3 linked regions of the Saccharomyces cerevisiae S288C genome follow. The protein of the gene in region 1 purifies or fractionates together with the protein of each later gene. This does not show direct contact. Each region holds a gene or a part of one and is shown in the gene's direction. Other genes may lie near its edges.

Evidence for each region. The genes of interacting proteins can lie anywhere in the genome.
Region 2: the proteins of TAF1 (region 1) and TAF10 purify together in Saccharomyces cerevisiae (affinity purification with western blotting; 15 studies listed by BioGRID, with this or other methods). This does not show direct contact.
Region 3: the proteins of TAF1 (region 1) and TAF14 purify together in Saccharomyces cerevisiae (affinity purification with western blotting; 12 studies listed by BioGRID, with this or other methods). This does not show direct contact.

What each region holds. Positions count from the first base shown.
Region 1 is NC_001139.9:1,034,865-1,044,807, reverse strand, and holds TAF1 (histone acetyltransferase), read left to right. Parts: upstream 1-1,712; coding exon 1,713-4,913; downstream 4,914-9,943. Other genes in the region: RNH70 (Rnh70p), read left to right, coding at 1-989; RTT102 (Rtt102p), read right to left, coding at 1,059-1,532; YGR273C (uncharacterized protein), read left to right, coding at 5,569-6,093; EFG1 (Efg1p), read left to right, coding at 6,307-7,008; SLH1 (RNA helicase), read right to left, coding at 7,114-9,943. UniProt on the Saccharomyces cerevisiae protein: Functions as a component of the DNA-binding general transcription factor complex TFIID. Binding of TFIID to a promoter (with or without TATA element) is the initial step in pre-initiation complex (PIC) formation.
Region 2 is NC_001136.10:787,518-791,825, forward strand, and holds TAF10 (Taf10p), read left to right. Parts: upstream 1-1,931; coding exon 1,932-2,552; downstream 2,553-4,308. Other genes in the region: exocyst subunit SEC5, read right to left, coding at 1-1,704; Hsp90 co-chaperone CDC37, read left to right, coding at 2,811-4,308.
Region 3 is NC_001148.4:303,615-307,893, forward strand, and holds TAF14 (TATA-binding protein-associated factor TAF14), read left to right. Parts: upstream 1-1,683; coding exon 1,684-1,692; intron 1,693-1,797; coding exon 1,798-2,523; downstream 2,524-4,279. Other genes in the region: 60S ribosomal protein uL18 RPL5, read left to right, coding at 1-400; SPO19 (Spo19p), read left to right, coding at 773-1,444; TBF1 (Tbf1p), read right to left, coding at 2,919-4,279. UniProt on the Saccharomyces cerevisiae protein: Functions as a component of the DNA-binding general transcription factor complex TFIID, the RNA polymerase II associated general transcription factor complex TFIIF, and the chromatin-remodeling complex SWI/SNF.

The sequences.
Region 1 (9,943 bases):
TCTTTGCACTAGACTGTGAAATGTGTCTTTCCGAACAAGGTTTAGTTCTAACTAGGATTTCTCTAGTGAATTTTGACAATGAAGTTATCTATGAAGAGTTGGTGAAACCTGATGTCCCCATAGTGGACTATTTGACACGTTACAGTGGTATAACTGAAGAGAAACTAACTGTTGGTGCCAAGAAAACATTGCGAGAAGTACAAAAAGATTTACTAAAGATAATAAGTCGTTCAGATATTTTGATAGGACATTCGCTACAGAATGATTTGAAAGTCATGAAATTGAAACATCCATTGGTCGTGGATACAGCTATTATATACCATCATAAAGCTGGCGATCCTTTCAAGCCAAGTTTAAAATACTTGAGCGAAACCTTTCTGAATAAAAGCATTCAAAACGGAGAACACGATTCTGTCGAAGATGCAAGGGCTTGTCTTGAATTGACGAAATTAAAAATCTTAAATGGGTTAGCATTTGGGATAGGTATCAATACGGAGAACTTGTTCACCAAATTACATCGTTTTGAAGTGAAAACCGTTCTTCTCAACGATATGATTATTAAAAATCATACTGAGGACGATTCTAAGGGCCAGTTAATCCGTTGCGTCGAAGATGATGAGACATGGACCCATATTCACGAGAATCTAAATAAAGATGTCAAACTTATTGTGGGGAGAATCAAGAACTTAGAGAGGTCACGCAACTATAATAAAAAGCCACGGAAGGAAACTCCTTCGTTCGATGCGTCCATGGTTCTTCATGATATAGGGCAACATCTAACACAATTATACGAGAATGCTACACCAGGTACTATGATTTTGATCATGTCGGGTACAGGCGACACAAGACCATGGAACAATCTTTCAACTGAGTTAGAGTTTATTCAAGACAAAAAGGAAAGATTAGATAAAAGACGCGAAAGGGAACCTGAAATAGTAGAAGCCATAAAGTTAGCCCGGGGTGGTGTAGCATCCTTTACTGTAAAATAATTCTATGTGTATAAATATATAAATATATATATATATATATATATATATATATGCATAATACTTTTCCTTTTAATTCATTTTCACATCTTTACTCTCCTTTGTATTATCATTGTTCACTCCCGCAGATAACCCAGGAATGGCTTCACTATTACCGACAGCGCCTCTTATATCATCCACACTAAGAGCTTCATCTCCTTGATTAGCAGAAGGAGCACCGGTGGCCTTACTTGTATCACCCTTAGTGTGCGATGTCATCAACGACTTTTTCAGTATTCTTCTATCAAATTCTTTCAAATCTAATATATCCTCACAGCTCTCCCTCTGTAGATTTTTCTCATCTTCCTGGTTCCTCAACCATGTTTTATACCTGAATGGATATTTCTCCAAGTTATTCTCCATGTCCCCTAGCTGTTGTTGTGGTTGCTGCACATTGGAGCTCACCTTAGATGGTTGGTACCAATCATACCTCCATGATTCCTTACTCGTAGGGTTGCCATAGTAAGAAACCTTATTGGCCTTAGTAATGAGCGTCTGTGGGTCCATTTTCTCTATCTCTTGCTGACGTAGCTCTTTCTTTCCAACATTAGGTTTTATCGCCTTGTTCATTAATAAACTAGTCGATAATTTCATTTCGCGGCGATGGTTTTCAAATGTGCTTTTAAGAGAATAAATAGCATTTTAAACACAGAGAGAAAAAGAAGTACAACAGGAGTATAAGGCGATATGGTAAAGCAGCAGGGATCCGGCAAGACCAACTTGGCCAACGAAGATGAAGCATATGAAGCTATTTTTGGCGGAGAGTTTGGCTCTTTAGAAATCGGGTCATACATTGGCGGGGATGAAGGTGCCAATTCAAAGGACTATACGGAGCATTTGCCGGATGCTGTAGATTTTGAAGATGAAGATGAACTTGCTGATGACGATGACGATTTGCCAGAAGAATCTGATGCTAATTTGCATCCAGCTATGATGACTATGGGCGCGTATGATGATGTAAACGAGAACGGTGCCGTACTCGGTATCGACTCAAATAGTTTGAATATGCAACTGCCTGAAATTAATGGTGATTTGTCTCAACAGTTTATTTTGGAGGATGATGGGGGTACTCCCGCAACTAGCAATGCTTTGTTTATGGGAATGGATGCAAATGAAATTCATCTCGCCACTGAAACTGGAGTTCTTGATGGTAGTGGCGCAAATGAAATTGGGCATTCTCAACTTTCCATTGGTGGCGTTAATGGAAATGATATGTCGATAAATGGTGGATTTATCATGGAACCAGATATGTCAGATGGCAAGCATAAGAAAGCCACCAAATTAGACTTGATAAACCATGAGAAGTATCTTCTAAAAAAATACTTTCCTGATTTTGAAAAGGGTAAAATTTTAAAATGGAACAAGCTGATTTATAGAAGATCTGTTCCTTATCATTGGCACAGTGAAATATCTAGGGTAAAGAAACCGTTTATGCCTTTAAATTTGAAATTCAAGGTTCAACAGGATGATAAGAGGCTATTCAACTCAAGGACAATATCTTACGTCGCTCCGATTTATCAAGGGAAAAACAATTTACTTCAAAGTAACTCTTCTGCATCCCGAAGAGGTTTAATTCATGTTTCCATTGATGAACTTTTCCCTATCAAAGAGCAACAAAAAAAAAGAAAGATTATTCATGATGAAAAGACCATATCGGAAGACTTGCTTATTGCCACTGATGATTGGGACCAAGAAAAAATCATCAACCAAGGTACTTCATCAACAGCAACCTTGGCGGATTCGTCTATGACACCCAACTTAAAGTTCTCCGGCGGTTATAAATTGAAGAGCTTGATTGAGGATGTTGCTGAAGATTGGCAGTGGGATGAAGACATGATCATTGATGCAAAATTGAAAGAGTCTAAACATGCTGAATTAAATATGAATGACGAAAAACTGTTGCTGATGATTGAGAAAACAAATAATTTAGCGCAGCAAAAGCAACAACTGGATAGTAGTAACTTGATATTGCCCCTCAACGAAACTATTTTGCAACAAAAATTCAATTTATCTAATGATGATAAATATCAAATCTTGAAAAAAACCCATCAAACAAAAGTTCGTTCTACCATCTCGAACTTAAATATTCAGCATTCTCAACCTGCGATTAATTTACAATCTCCATTTTACAAAGTGGCTGTTCCTAGATACCAGTTGAGGCATTTCCACCGTGAAAACTTTGGTTCGCACATCAGACCAGGTACTAAAATTGTCTTCAGTAAGTTAAAAGCGCGTAAAAGGAAAAGAGATAAAGGTAAAGATGTCAAAGAATCATTTTCTACATCTCAAGATCTAACCATCGGGGATACTGCTCCTGTTTATTTAATGGAATATTCTGAACAAACACCGGTAGCTTTGTCTAAATTTGGTATGGCCAATAAATTAATTAATTATTATCGGAAAGCCAATGAACAAGATACTCTAAGGCCCAAATTGCCTGTTGGCGAAACTCACGTTTTGGGAGTTCAAGACAAATCACCATTTTGGAACTTTGGATTTGTTGAACCTGGTCATATCGTCCCCACATTATACAATAACATGATTAGAGCACCCGTTTTCAAACATGATATATCAGGAACAGATTTTCTTCTGACAAAAAGTTCCGGATTTGGTATAAGCAATCGATTTTACTTACGTAATATTAACCATCTTTTTACGGTTGGACAAACTTTTCCTGTCGAGGAGATTCCCGGACCTAATTCAAGAAAGGTGACATCAATGAAAGCTACAAGACTGAAAATGATTATTTATAGAATTCTAAACCATAATCACAGCAAGGCAATTTCTATTGATCCCATTGCAAAGCACTTTCCCGACCAAGATTATGGACAAAACAGACAAAAAGTGAAGGAGTTCATGAAATATCAAAGAGATGGTCCTGAAAAAGGTCTGTGGAGGCTTAAAGATGATGAAAAATTGTTAGACAATGAAGCAGTGAAAAGTTTAATTACGCCAGAGCAGATCAGCCAAGTTGAATCAATGAGTCAGGGCTTACAATTCCAAGAAGATAATGAAGCATATAATTTTGATTCTAAGCTAAAATCTCTAGAAGAAAACTTGTTACCATGGAACATTACAAAAAATTTTATTAATTCAACACAAATGCGAGCTATGATACAAATACATGGTGTTGGTGACCCAACGGGCTGTGGTGAAGGTTTTTCTTTCTTGAAAACTTCAATGAAAGGTGGTTTTGTTAAGTCTGGTTCTCCTTCCAGTAATAACAATAGTTCAAACAAAAAAGGCACTAACACGCATAGCTACAATGTGGCTCAACAGCAAAAAGCTTACGACGAAGAAATTGCGAAGACCTGGTATACACATACAAAATCGTTGAGCATAAGCAATCCTTTTGAGGAAATGACCAATCCTGATGAGATTAATCAGACCAACAAGCATGTTAAGACGGATAGAGATGATAAGAAAATTCTGAAGATTGTTAGAAAGAAAAGAGATGAAAATGGTATAATTCAAAGGCAGACAATTTTCATAAGAGATCCTAGGGTCATTCAAGGATATATAAAAATCAAAGAACAGGATAAAGAAGATGTTAACAAATTGTTAGAGGAGGACACTTCAAAGATAAATAACTTGGAAGAACTTGAGAAACAGAAAAAACTGTTGCAACTAGAATTAGCTAATTTGGAAAAATCACAGCAACGTAGAGCAGCAAGGCAAAATTCGAAGAGAAATGGTGGTGCCACGAGAACAGAAAACTCTGTGGATAATGGTAGCGACCTTGCCGGTGTAACTGACGGGAAAGCAGCCAGGAATAAAGGTAAGAACACTACAAGGAGATGTGCTACATGCGGACAAATCGGGCACATTAGAACAAATAAATCTTGTCCAATGTATAGCAGTAAAGATAACCCTGCTTCACCAAAGTAGATTCAGTATAACGATGTATTGATCGAATAAAACTTTTGTAAAGGTTTTGTATAATGTAACAATAAAGAAATGTACACTATGTTTCTAAACACTGGCAGTGATCAGATTGATAATTTATTGAGTCATATCCTTAAACGATGGACGTGGTGTGTGAATGTGCACTTTTGCAGTAAGATGAAAAGTGCATATTATTTGAGTTCCATTAATATAGCCCAACTCACTGATTAAACACAATAATTGTTGTCTTTGTGCTCGAGTATTTAAAGCTTGTATTTTTCCAGTCTGATTGGAAATCACAGAGGTTAAAACATAAAGGACAATAGCAGAAAAGGTTCCCTAATATGCATTTTTCATACTGGTTGCTCTTTTCCTTTACAAAAGCAAATTCTTACTCAAAATTTAATCTTTTTCCCTATAGTAACCTGTTTGTCTTGATAAATATAATATGATTTATGTAGTTTTATTACTATAATTATATCAAAATTTTAATTTGTGTCTATTTTTTCCTCAACTAAGTTACCTTTTTTCATTTATATGCATTTGTGACGCACTCAAAAGTGTGATGCTGTCGTCAATTTTATAATGTTAAGAATATTAAAGCAAAAGTTTCCTAAAGTAATATCTGAAGTGCTCTAAAATCATAGTTTATCAAAAAATGCAACATTTCGAAAGTTCAGATAAGATAGAAAAGGATGATGATACATCAAGAATTAAATTACGCTCTTCTTCTTTGGCCGCTCCAATCCTCGAGGCTGTTCAAGAAGCCCAGCCTTTTGAAGAAGCCACTTTCTCTAACTTACAGAAGATACATCCGTTAACAGAAAACTCAACTTGCAATGGTTATGTTATTTACGATAAAGATGGAAATTTGAAATCCATGAAGGATACATTTGGTAGGAATATAAAAACACCTGATATTTCAAATCCTACAAGAGCAAGAAATGAAAGGCCATTGGATACAATACGTGGATTTGAATACTCCATAACAAAAGATCCCCGCTGGTTGCAAGAGCTAGAAACATCTAAGTTGGGATTTAAACCTAGACCTGGATTTGCCGTCATTAATCAAGACTCACAGGCTTCAATAAATTTATCTCAACTGGAAGAAAAAGTTATGGAAAGCCAAAAAAAAAAGGAGAAAAGACACATATCACGGCTTTCTCGGTTACTCTGCAGATGAATATAAAGATAAGTACGCTAAGATTATAAAAAGTGCTTGAAGCTCAAAAATATGTATTCCTTTAATTTCTGCGGTACCCTATGCCGGAGCACTAAGAAAAACACATTCAAAAAAATTTTCATACTCATCTCATCTCTACAATTAAACAATACATAAAACAAATATCGTGACTTAGTTATTTTACTTATATCATTCAATAAACCTAATCAATCAATGGCTAAATTACAGAGGAAGAGAAGCAAGGCTCTTGGGTCATCTCTAGAGATGTCCCAGATAATGGATGCAGGAACAAACAAAATTAAAAGAAGAATAAGAGATTTAGAGAGGTTATTAAAAAAGAAGAAAGATATACTTCCATCCACAGTAATAATAGAAAAGGAAAGAAATTTGCAAGCTTTACGGTTGGAATTGCAGAATAATGAACTCAAGAATAAGATTAAAGCCAACGCTAAAAAATATCATATGGTGAGATTCTTTGAAAAAAAAAAAGCATTGAGAAAATATAACAGATTATTGAAGAAAATAAAAGAATCTGGCGCAGATGATAAAGATTTACAACAAAAGTTGAGAGCCACTAAAATTGAATTATGTTACGTGATAAATTTTCCCAAAACTGAAAAGTATATTGCACTATATCCGAATGATACACCATCTACAGACCCAAAGGGCGTAGAATTGACAAATCTTAGAAGAGAACAATTTCTTAAATTAGTAGCTGAAAGAATGGATGCGAACACCTTAAACGTATCTTTCGAAGAGATATTGAAGGGAAAGAAATTGGATGAAGATTCCATCGGATTAACATTATCACCTGATAAAGATCATGAGGATGGATCACAAGTATCACCTACACAGGATAGAAAAGAATTGGATCAAGTTGTGGGAGAAGATGAAAAGGATGACTTTTTTGAGTAAAAAAATTCTAAATGCGTTATGTAAGAAAATATATACGAAGATGTATACTAGATAGATTTCCACTGTTATCTTTCACAAAATAATTGTTGTTTTAATTGTGTCTCACTAAGAGATTAGTTTATGGACCATATCATAACGTAATCCTAAAGCGTCATTAATAAGGGAAAATTGCAATTCTTCGCCACGAATTTCTTCGGGAATAAATAGATCACAATGTATTATGACCTCTTTATTCATTTGTTTTGGTTGACACCTTTTAATCATCAGCAGTTCATCGCCTTTGTGTCCAATTAAAAACCATAGTTCTTTTTGTATCTTAGGGAATTTATCACAATATACTTCAAACCCATTATTATGCTTACTAGAAAGGTGCTTGCTATAAAATGTTAACACCTCGTTATTTTCCTGTTCTTCAAATTTCATGCCTTCTAAAACCGGTAATCTTTGGCAGACACTGACGAAACGTTTTTTCGTATCTTCGCTTTCTGTCATTCCAAAAGTTAGTTGATCAAAAACATTTAATAATTTCTTATATCCAAACCTTCCTATTTCCTCCAAGGTTAACAGCTTTTTCTTCTTTTGCTGCGGCGTCATTTCAATGAACCCCTGCTCGCTAAAAGTGTAATCTTTGATTCTTCTCAGTTGTAATCCTGGAAGTACACTAACAGGATCGTCTTCATACCAATACCCTTGCTTTATGCATTGCATCATCTTTATCATGGTCAATACCGTATGAAAGTAACCCAATTCACTGGCGACATCAATATAAGCCTGTAGAATACGTAGAGATTGATCCAAAACTGATACGGTATCCTGGATATAATCTGCAATCGGTAAATCTACACGGCTTAAATGAGCTTGAAGTAATAAAAATGTTTTTACATGTGGATCCCACATCGGTAATTCGAATTCATCGGTAAAAGTGCTTTCAACGGAGTACCTCGATTGCTGCGACATTTCTTCATTCATGATAATTTCACCACCTCTTACAGGCAATTCATTATACTCAACAGCCAACGATAACCATCGTAATACCTCTTGAAAAGTCGCATGATCATGTATCTGTTTCAATAATTGGCGTATCGTTAAATGTGAAATATAGTAGTATGAGGATATACTTAAGAATGGCGTAGCAACAATATCATCTCCATGTAATAAAACACATTGTGATTCTCGCAGATTTTCTAATGTGCTATCTATCAAAGAACTCAAATGTTCACTGACTCCTGCTGTACTTGTATCATCTTCAATGCCATAATATGTCGGGTTATGATGCGCTCTACGAAACAAAAATGTCCAACTCAAAAAATCTAACGCTTCTTGCTTATTAGTTATGCTACCTGACGTTATTTCTGCACCTAAATGATCATCTAATACCTTGTGCAAGGAGGACTCGACAGGAAAACCAACGTTTAGGAAATGTTTATAAAACATTTTTTTGGACTCTTTTGTATAAACGATAGCAGTACCTGTAGTGTCATAAGCCGGTCTACCAGCTCTCCCCATCATTTGCAAGATATCTGTTAAATCCATATCTCTATATCCTTCAATTTTTGCATCAAAAAATTGTGTACCTTTGATGATAACCAAGTGAGCTGGCAAATTGACACCCCACGCTAGGGTTGATGTAGCGATCAGAATCTGAATTTTGTTTTTTTGAAACAACTGATGAGAAATAGAACGATCTTTTTGCACTAGACCTGCATGATGCAATCCAATACCGAACTGGAGTGATAACTTTAAAGTGTCGTCAGTGACCTGTGATAAGTAATATTGCAGTTCCTCCTCATCGTCTATATTCAAAAACCTACGTGGATTATCTTCCATTCCACATAAGTGGATCAAGTCTAAAGCCGTTAGTCTAGTTTGTCTACGCGATGCAACAAATATTAATGCTGGTTTATCAGGTGAATGTTGTTTAATGGCCATAAACACAGGTTTGTTCATTGTTTTCATCAGAGGACAGAATGCCAAATTATCTGGAAATCCATCAATGTACATTTTCAATGGAACCGGACGGACGCTTGACGGGAAGTTATACAGTCCGTGGTCCTTAACTCCCAACCAGCCAGCCATGTCGTAGGCGTTTGAAACAGCAGTTGACATACCTAGCAGTCTGACCGGTTGCTTGGTTTGAGAGGAAATATAATTCATACGACTAACAATCATTTCTAAGATAGGACCACGATCACTAGCCAACAAATGAATTTCATCCATGATAATTAAAGATACATCTTGAACAAACTTACGAGTTTGCCAATTACGGGAAATACCATCAAACTTTTCTGGAGTTGTAATAACAATGGTGGCATCATGCACATCTTTAGGATCTGGCAAAGAATCACCGGTTAACTCTACAACTTTATCTCCGGTCACTGGTGTTATTTTCTTTCTCCAGTCATCAACCCTTTCACGTACTAATGCTTTCATTGGTGCGATATAAACAATCTTTTTCCCAGGAAATGTTTTGAAGGCATGCCATATAGCCAATTCAGCCACAATCGTTTTACCAGAACCTGTAGGCGAGCCAACAAACGCATTCTCATTGGTATTGTAAAGTGTATAAAATGTCATAGTTTGCATGGGATTGAAATACTTGAAAGGATAAATTGACTCAATTAAAGGATTCTGGAGGGCTGATGTAGGTAGAGGACGTAACTTCAACAATTTTGTCTGTAAAGTTTCGTTAAATGGTCTGATTAAATGTTGAAAAGAGATGGCATGGGTCGATTCACAGCCAATCCAAGTATCCGACACAACCTTTACGACAACCTGCGGAGGCAAAGGGTCTGACAATGGGATCATGAAGTCCATTTCATGCTGATTATTCAACTGCCTTCTGTTTAAGATGAACTTTTCAAAATGAAGGATTTGCGACTTATCAGATTCTTCAACGAAAACCCAAAAAAACTGTGCATCACCATGTATCCGGGAA
Region 2 (4,308 bases), on another chromosome or scaffold:
AGAATCCTTCAATGATGATGGTAGAGATGATTGAGAAGATGTGAAAAATGATATTAAATTTTGTGAGACTGAAGTGATGAATTCCTCGCCCTTTAACCTAACCTCGTTAATCTGTTCTTCCTTCAAGATCAAGCTTTTTTGGTATGATTCAATAATATTAGAATCACCGATCAAAATGTTTTCTTTTCTTTTTTCATTTATAATGGAATTTTGGTAAGTCCCATCGAGGAACTTTTCAATGTGTTCCCAGAATTCTATAAATTGATCACAAATTTTCCACAGGTCGTTAATATATTTTAAGATTAATAGCCACATTTCAATGATAGTTGGGGAATCAGTTAGTCCTTGAGAGCTGGGTTGGCAATTCAAATTTAGATAGCTGGTTCCAGAAATGGTGTTAACTTTATTGGGTTCAACGGTACTTTTCAAACCTTCACTATCCTTGCCCGTATCACTTATTATTTGGAATAATTGATTGATTTTCAAATAATACGACAGCTCCACGCACCCTTGACTTTTATCTTGATTAGTATTGTTTTGTAATATAAGCCTTTGAGAATGAATGATTTTACTAATCATATGGCCAGACAACTCGTTCAGTTCATTCTGAAAGCCATTCATTTTGATGGACATCCATCTTAGGATTGGATTTTCATTGGATGATGAAGTTGTGTTCTTGTTACCACTTTCACTTTCTCTTTGATTATTATTGATAAAGTTTTCTAAGTTCAACAATTTTGAAAAGAGGGACAAAATTGTTTCTTGGGGTTGGTCAATGTTAAAATTTGAATTTATTAAACTGTTCCAAATCAGATCTTTATACGTGACTAATAAATTTTCTATTTGAGTCCAAATTCTTTTTATAACAAGAGATTGTGAAGCATCTGAACTCTGGTTGAAACGGCGACGGAGCGTAAGACCTTTTGAATATTCGATAATGAACTCATTGAAATCGTTGTTAGTCAAACATCTCTTTAAAGATTTGGGTAGGTTGAAGTAAAACTTATTCAATTCAATAAATTTTTTGGTGGCCTGGTAATTCAAAATTTTCTGATAGTTATCCATTAGCGGTTTCAGTTTGAAAGTTGTTGTTCTAATAACCTCGTCGACCTTTTTATTTAAGCTTTCCACATTTATTTGATTTTCTTTTGGTGAATCACATTGGTTTTTTTCATTCGTTTTCTCGTCAAATTCTTTGTAAATTTGGTCTAACTTGTTTTTAATCTTAACATACTTGGTGAAATTTTTACCAACCAATTGTTTCAAATGTATAGATTGGTCTTGTATATCACTGTCCAACCTGTCCAGTGAGTTATTTAGATCATTGAAAGAGTCTTGTTTGTGCATATCTCTCAGAAAGGCTTTGACGTTGAATTGTTTACTGTTGACAAGATAGTTCAACCGCATTGAATCATTTGGTAGATGTTGCAATTCTTTAGACATTTCTTGTCCATTCAAGGGATCTCTAATATAACTTAACGACTCATCGTTTAAATATGCTCTCGATTCCTTGTCAATGCTAATTTGATTGCCATATTTGAAGTCTTTTAATATGTCGAATGACGTTTCAACGCCAAGTTCATTGCTTGTAGCCTCTTCATTATTCAATTTTGAGGAATCTTGGGCCCAGGAATGGGTCGGATTAATAGTCTTCAACTGATAAAAACGAAGTAGTTGCTCGTCGCCAATTTGAAACCTATCCATGGTACCAAACTTTTTTTCGCTACTTTATTTCAACAGAAACTTCTTTCCTAGTTTAGCAGCTTTAACGCAGCTTATTTTTGTTACTTTAGTTGAATAGTAGGAGTTGATACTTTTGTTTTTTCAAGTTGAAAACAGAAACGAAAAATTAAAGAAGCTGCAGATTCAGCATTCATGCCTAAGCTAAAAAGAACTGGCAGCGAAGAACAGAGGAAAGAATAACTGAAACTATGGATTTTGAGGAAGATTACGATGCGGAGTTTGATGATAATCAAGAAGGACAATTAGAAACACCTTTTCCATCGGTTGCGGGAGCCGATGATGGGGACAATGATAATGATGACTCTGTCGCAGAAAACATGAAGAAGAAGCAAAAGAGAGAGGCTGTAGTGGATGATGGGAGTGAAAATGCATTTGGTATACCCGAATTTACAAGAAAAGATAAGACTCTGGAGGAGATTCTAGAGATGATGGACAGTACTCCTCCTATCATTCCCGATGCAGTAATAGACTACTATTTAACCAAAAACGGGTTTAACGTAGCAGATGTACGAGTGAAACGACTTTTAGCACTTGCTACTCAGAAATTTGTTAGTGATATAGCTAAGGATGCCTACGAATATTCCAGGATCAGGTCTTCCGTAGCGGTATCTAATGCTAACAACAGTCAGGCGAGAGCTAGGCAGCTATTGCAAGGACAGCAACAGCCTGGCGTGCAGCAGATTTCACAACAACAACATCAACAGAATGAGAAGACTACAGCAAGCAAAGTTGTTCTGACGGTGAACGATCTCAGTAGCGCTGTTGCTGAATACGGGCTCAATATAGGTCGCCCAGACTTTTATCGTTAGTGGCTAACAAATGGAAATGAAATATGTATATAGTGTAGCAGTATGCAACTCTTTTAAATACACGATTCGTTATTAGATTGATTAGAGCACTTATTCACGCAAATTTGACACGCTTTTTGAACATCCGTTTTTCACGATTTTTTACTGAAGGATCATGAAAGATTGCCACATAAGAGAACACCTCCGTTGCACCAACACTTCATCACGATAAAAAAACTATCGAGCTATCGTACTACGGAACAACTACATAAGTCAAAAATGGCCATTGATTACTCTAAGTGGGATAAAATTGAACTATCAGATGATTCTGATGTCGAGGTGCATCCTAATGTGGACAAGAAATCGTTCATTAAATGGAAACAACAGAGTATCCATGAACAGCGATTCAAAAGGAACCAAGATATCAAAAATTTGGAGACACAAGTGGATATGTATTCTCATTTGAACAAACGAGTGGACAGAATTTTGAGTAATTTACCTGAAAGTTCTCTTACTGATTTGCCAGCCGTTACCAAATTCTTGAATGCAAATTTTGATAAGATGGAGAAAAGTAAAGGGGAAAATGTTGATCCTGAGATTGCAACATACAATGAAATGGTTGAAGATCTTTTTGAACAATTAGCAAAAGATTTAGACAAAGAGGGCAAAGACTCGAAGAGCCCATCTCTCATAAGGGATGCTATTTTGAAACATAGGGCTAAGATCGATTCAGTAACTGTAGAGGCTAAGAAGAAATTAGATGAATTATACAAGGAGAAAAATGCACACATTTCATCTGAAGACATTCATACAGGCTTTGATAGTAGCTTTATGAACAAGCAAAAGGGGGGGGCTAAGCCACTGGAAGCAACTCCTTCAGAAGCTCTTTCGAGCGCTGCAGAGTCTAATATTCTTAATAAACTAGCAAAATCATCAGTTCCGCAAACTTTCATCGATTTTAAAGATGATCCTATGAAACTGGCCAAGGAAACTGAAGAATTCGGTAAAATATCCATTAATGAGTACTCAAAATCTCAGAAATTCTTACTGGAGCACTTACCTATTATTTCAGAACAACAAAAGGACGCCTTAATGATGAAGGCCTTTGAGTATCAGTTACATGGTGACGATAAGATGACTTTGCAAGTCATTCATCAATCCGAATTGATGGCCTACATTAAGGAAATCTACGACATGAAGAAAATTCCATATTTAAATCCAATGGAACTATCAAATGTCATTAATATGTTTTTCGAGAAGGTTATCTTCAACAAGGACAAGCCAATGGGTAAAGAGTCTTTTTTGAGATCAGTTCAAGAAAAATTTTTGCACATTCAAAAACGTTCCAAAATTTTACAACAAGAGGAAATGGATGAATCGAATGCTGAAGGAGTAGAGACGATTCAATTGAAATCTCTAGATGATTCTACAGAATTAGAAGTAAACTTGCCAGACTTCAATTCTAAAGATCCAGAAGAGATGAAAAAGGTTAAAGTTTTCAAAACTTTAATACCGGAAAAAATGCAAGAAGCCATAATGACCAAAAATTTGGATAATATTAATAAAGTCTTTGAAGATATACCAATTGAAGAGGCTGAGAAACTTTTGGAAGTGTTTAATGACATTGACATTATTGGAATAAAAGCGATCTTAGAAAACGAGAAAGACTTTCAAAGTTTGAAAGATCAATACGAACAGGACCATGAAGACGCCACTATGGAGAATCTGTCCTTAAACGACCGTGATGGTGGCGGAGATAACCATGAAGAGGTCAAAC
Region 3 (4,279 bases), on another chromosome or scaffold:
TGCTTCTGACGGTGGTTTGTACGTTCCTCACTCCGAAAACAGATTCCCAGGTTGGGACTTCGAAACCGAAGAAATTGACCCAGAATTATTGAGATCTTACATCTTTGGTGGCCACGTTTCCCAATACATGGAAGAATTAGCTGACGATGATGAAGAAAGATTCTCTGAATTATTCAAGGGTTACCTAGCTGACGACATTGATGCTGACTCTTTGGAAGACATCTACACTTCTGCTCACGAAGCTATCAGAGCTGACCCAGCTTTCAAGCCAACTGAAAAGAAATTCACCAAGGAACAATACGCTGCTGAATCCAAGAAGTACAGACAAACCAAATTGTCCAAGGAAGAAAGAGCTGCTCGTGTTGCTGCCAAGATCGCTGCTTTGGCTGGTCAACAATAAATTATGGATATATAACGTCATTTTGAGATATTTTAAATAAAGCTATCTTCACATAACCTTTGTATTCATTTTTAGTTAACTCATTTACATCATCCACTTACTACATTTGTATTTTTTTTACGATTTGCGTACCGCCTCATTACTACCCTTTTTTTGCACTGCAGTAATAGTACACTCAAATCATGATGAAAAGAGAAAAGAAAAAAATGCCACAAAAAGTAGTTGATTTTATAAAAGTTATCATCCAATTTTAGGTAATTTTATTCTCTTTATGTAACGAACATATGAAGATTTCTTCTCTAGAATGGCATTCTAACTAAGTCCGTGCCATAAAATCATCACTAACAAATATAAGATCACGCTATACTATCAATGAAGAAACAAATATTAATAGTTGCTGCACAAAGTATTTTATGTTCTACTGTTTTTGGCGAGCGAAGTAATGTAGGCCTTTCCACTGAAGAGCTAGGAGGTGACTCAATTTTATACTTCAATGAAGACCCTATAGTGATTGAAATCGATAAGAAAGCTATTGACAAGAAGACTTTGGAACAGTTGGCAAGCACAAGAGATGTTGTTCTTACTGATTTACCGGACACTCTTGAGTTTATAGACTTCAACGAGTACGCGAAAATGAAGTCAAAATCAGATATGCTACTAGAGTATATCAACGAATACGAATTTGATGATTTTGAAAGAAGTTCTGAAGGCGGTCTTGAAGAAGAAGAAGAAGAGGATTTAATTTATGACTTCAATGCCCAAGCTGAAGATTTGGGTAAGCTTGGTTCAAATATATATGAAGTAGTCGAAGAAAAGAATATTGTTAATACTTACGATGGAAACCTTATCAATGCAAGTACAACTGAATCAACGACTACTATTCGGCCTTTCGTGACTTCTCACTCCTACGTTGCTTCTTCTACACCTTATTCGAATATTTCATCATTGAATGAGGACTACGATAATGCGAGCAACTTTTTGACTCCTACAACAGTGGCTCTTGCGGTACTTTTAACCATTTTATTATTTATACAGGCGTATTAATAGATCATTATTTTATTTAAATAAGAAATATTGTTGGCTAGCTTTCCTGTTTTATTTACTGTCACTTTTTAAAATCACTCAAGACGAGAAAGCTCTTTAGCAAAGTACTGACAAAAAACTTGAAGTTTGAACTTGTTACAGTATTACACGTCAAGGCTGTAGTGCGGTGAAAAAAAAAGAATATACCGTAATTTTTCTCCTTCGTGACCTCGGAGCTGACTGATATTAGATAACTAATCATGGTAGCTGTATGTTCGTTAATCTCTTTTAGCCACCCACCCATATGCTTTTTGTTTTGTTAGCTAAAATAATACTAACTTACGACTCTATTCTCATCATTAAATAACCAACAGACAGTAAAAAGAACCATCCGTATAAAAACCCAACAACACATTCTGCCAGAAGTGCCACCAGTAGAGAATTTTCCTGTTCGTCAATGGAGTATAGAAATTGTATTATTGGATGATGAAGGAAAAGAAATTCCCGCTACAATTTTTGACAAAGTTATTTACCACTTGCACCCAACTTTCGCCAATCCTAACAGGACATTTACTGACCCACCATTTAGAATTGAGGAACAAGGTTGGGGTGGATTTCCTTTAGATATAAGCGTTTTCTTGTTGGAAAAAGCAGGTGAGCGGAAAATACCACACGATTTGAACTTTCTACAAGAGAGTTATGAAGTGGAGCACGTTATCCAGATTCCTCTCAATAAACCACTTTTAACAGAAGAACTTGCGAAAAGTGGATCTACTGAAGAAACGACGGCCAATACAGGCACCATTGGGAAAAGAAGGACTACCACGAACACAACTGCAGAACCAAAGGCGAAGAGAGCTAAGACGGGCAGTGCATCTACCGTGAAAGGGAGCGTGGACCTAGAAAAATTAGCGTTCGGATTGACTAAACTAAATGAAGATGACCTGGTTGGTGTTGTTCAAATGGTTACCGACAATAAAACACCAGAAATGAACGTGACGAATAATGTTGAAGAGGGTGAATTTATAATTGACTTGTATAGTTTACCTGAGGGATTATTGAAAAGTCTATGGGACTACGTTAAGAAAAATACCGAGTAATAAAAGGTAAAAGGGCGTTAAATGCGCGCTTTTATGTTTGTATAAATAAAACACGTTGATATTTTGTCTTATATAAACTTTATTCCAATAACCGCGACACCTTACCAAACACATATTATTACAACACATTTTTATCTTGGATTTTAAGTAATTATACAACAGTTTTCATTTTAGAAAATGAGAACATCAAATATATACATTCCAATGTAATAGAAAATGGAAAAGAAAAAAGAATAAAAAGAAAAACACGAGGGGACCAGGTTGCTAGAAGATAGGGTGACCACGTCAAAAGAATATACCTAGGGAACCAAACAATGCGAAGTTAACAACCCATCAAAGTATTTTTAATAGTGAGTGGTTCAATAGAAAATTAGAAGTCTGTTCATTTAAGCGCGCTACATCCCATCTTCTAAATGAGGATCAAAACCTGTATTGTCCGATGTACTATTGCCAAAAAGTCCGTTAGATGGCATATTATCACTATTTTGCCCATGTGAATCCTCTTGATGAGTTTGAGTGTCTTCAGTAGCAGATGCAGCTGATGAAGGATGCTGAGATAAATTTTGTTCCATAATAGTTGACGAATTTGGAGATTGAGAGAATTTTTTCTTTGCCTTGTAGATTTTCTCCAAGTTACCGGTCACTTTTATCAAATAGTCAGGCAATGGTTTGCCACTCTTCAAGTATTGTAATTTCCAATTACGGGCTTTATCTTTCAGTTGTACCTGCGTCCTGTTCTTCAAATTTTCCGTGATTTTACCACCGGGACCATATAAATCTAGAATCTTAGACCACGATGGGCCAACCTCTTTCAGGCCTTCCACTAATGCTTCTTCTTCCTCTTTGGACCAAGTTCTTTTCGCCTTTGGTTTTCTTAATCCGATACTACCATTATTGTTGCTGTTACTGCTGTTGTTATGAGAGGAATGAGGACCAGAGCTGCTGTTGCTCATCGAGGCCGCAACAGCGGCATCCACAATGGATTGTGTGATAGCGGGGTTTTTGGAAGACACATCTGTGGTAGGTGTATGTGTGCTGTAATGATTCGGACGAGCAGTTGACAAAAAAGCAGACGCACTGCTTGGCTGATTTTGGTCGTCCATGAATTCTACGGTCCTGGTCCCTGTAGAAAAGAGTACTTGAGGATCAAACTCGTTGACATCAAAGTCATATAATGGTGATTTTCCGCGACCCTTTCTGCCCCATATGATGAGACCCATATTTTTATTACAATAATCCAGCAACTCTCTGATAAATTGAGCCCATTCGTAGCTCTGGGTCAGAGAGTTAAAATCTTGGACGATCTTTAAATTTTCTCTCCGACGATCGCACCTTTCGACGAAGTCCTTCTCCGATGGAGTCAAAAGTGTAATGTCTCCAGAATCGCCGGTTCTTCTCTGCACGAGAATATCAGCCAGATTGGATGGGAAGATTAAGTCTAGTAGCTCTTGTTTCTTTTCTAAAGAAATTTCGTTCGTCTCGTCCTGAAACTCTTTCAAGCCGGCAATGTAAGCCTGTGTTTTCAGATCAAGATATAGGATAGCCTGCGATTTCAAAAACTTTCCGCTTTGTTCCAGGGAGTTGTTACCGACAGTGTTTGTATTTGGACAGAAAATATCGAGAAATATCGACTGTAGCAGCTCAAACCCGTAATTAAGGCAGTTCAGCGACGTCAATAGAAATGTTAGCAGATTCGCCTTTCTTATGGCAGTAATAATAAACGCTTCGTGGCCTCTCAATATAAGGGGGGGAGGGG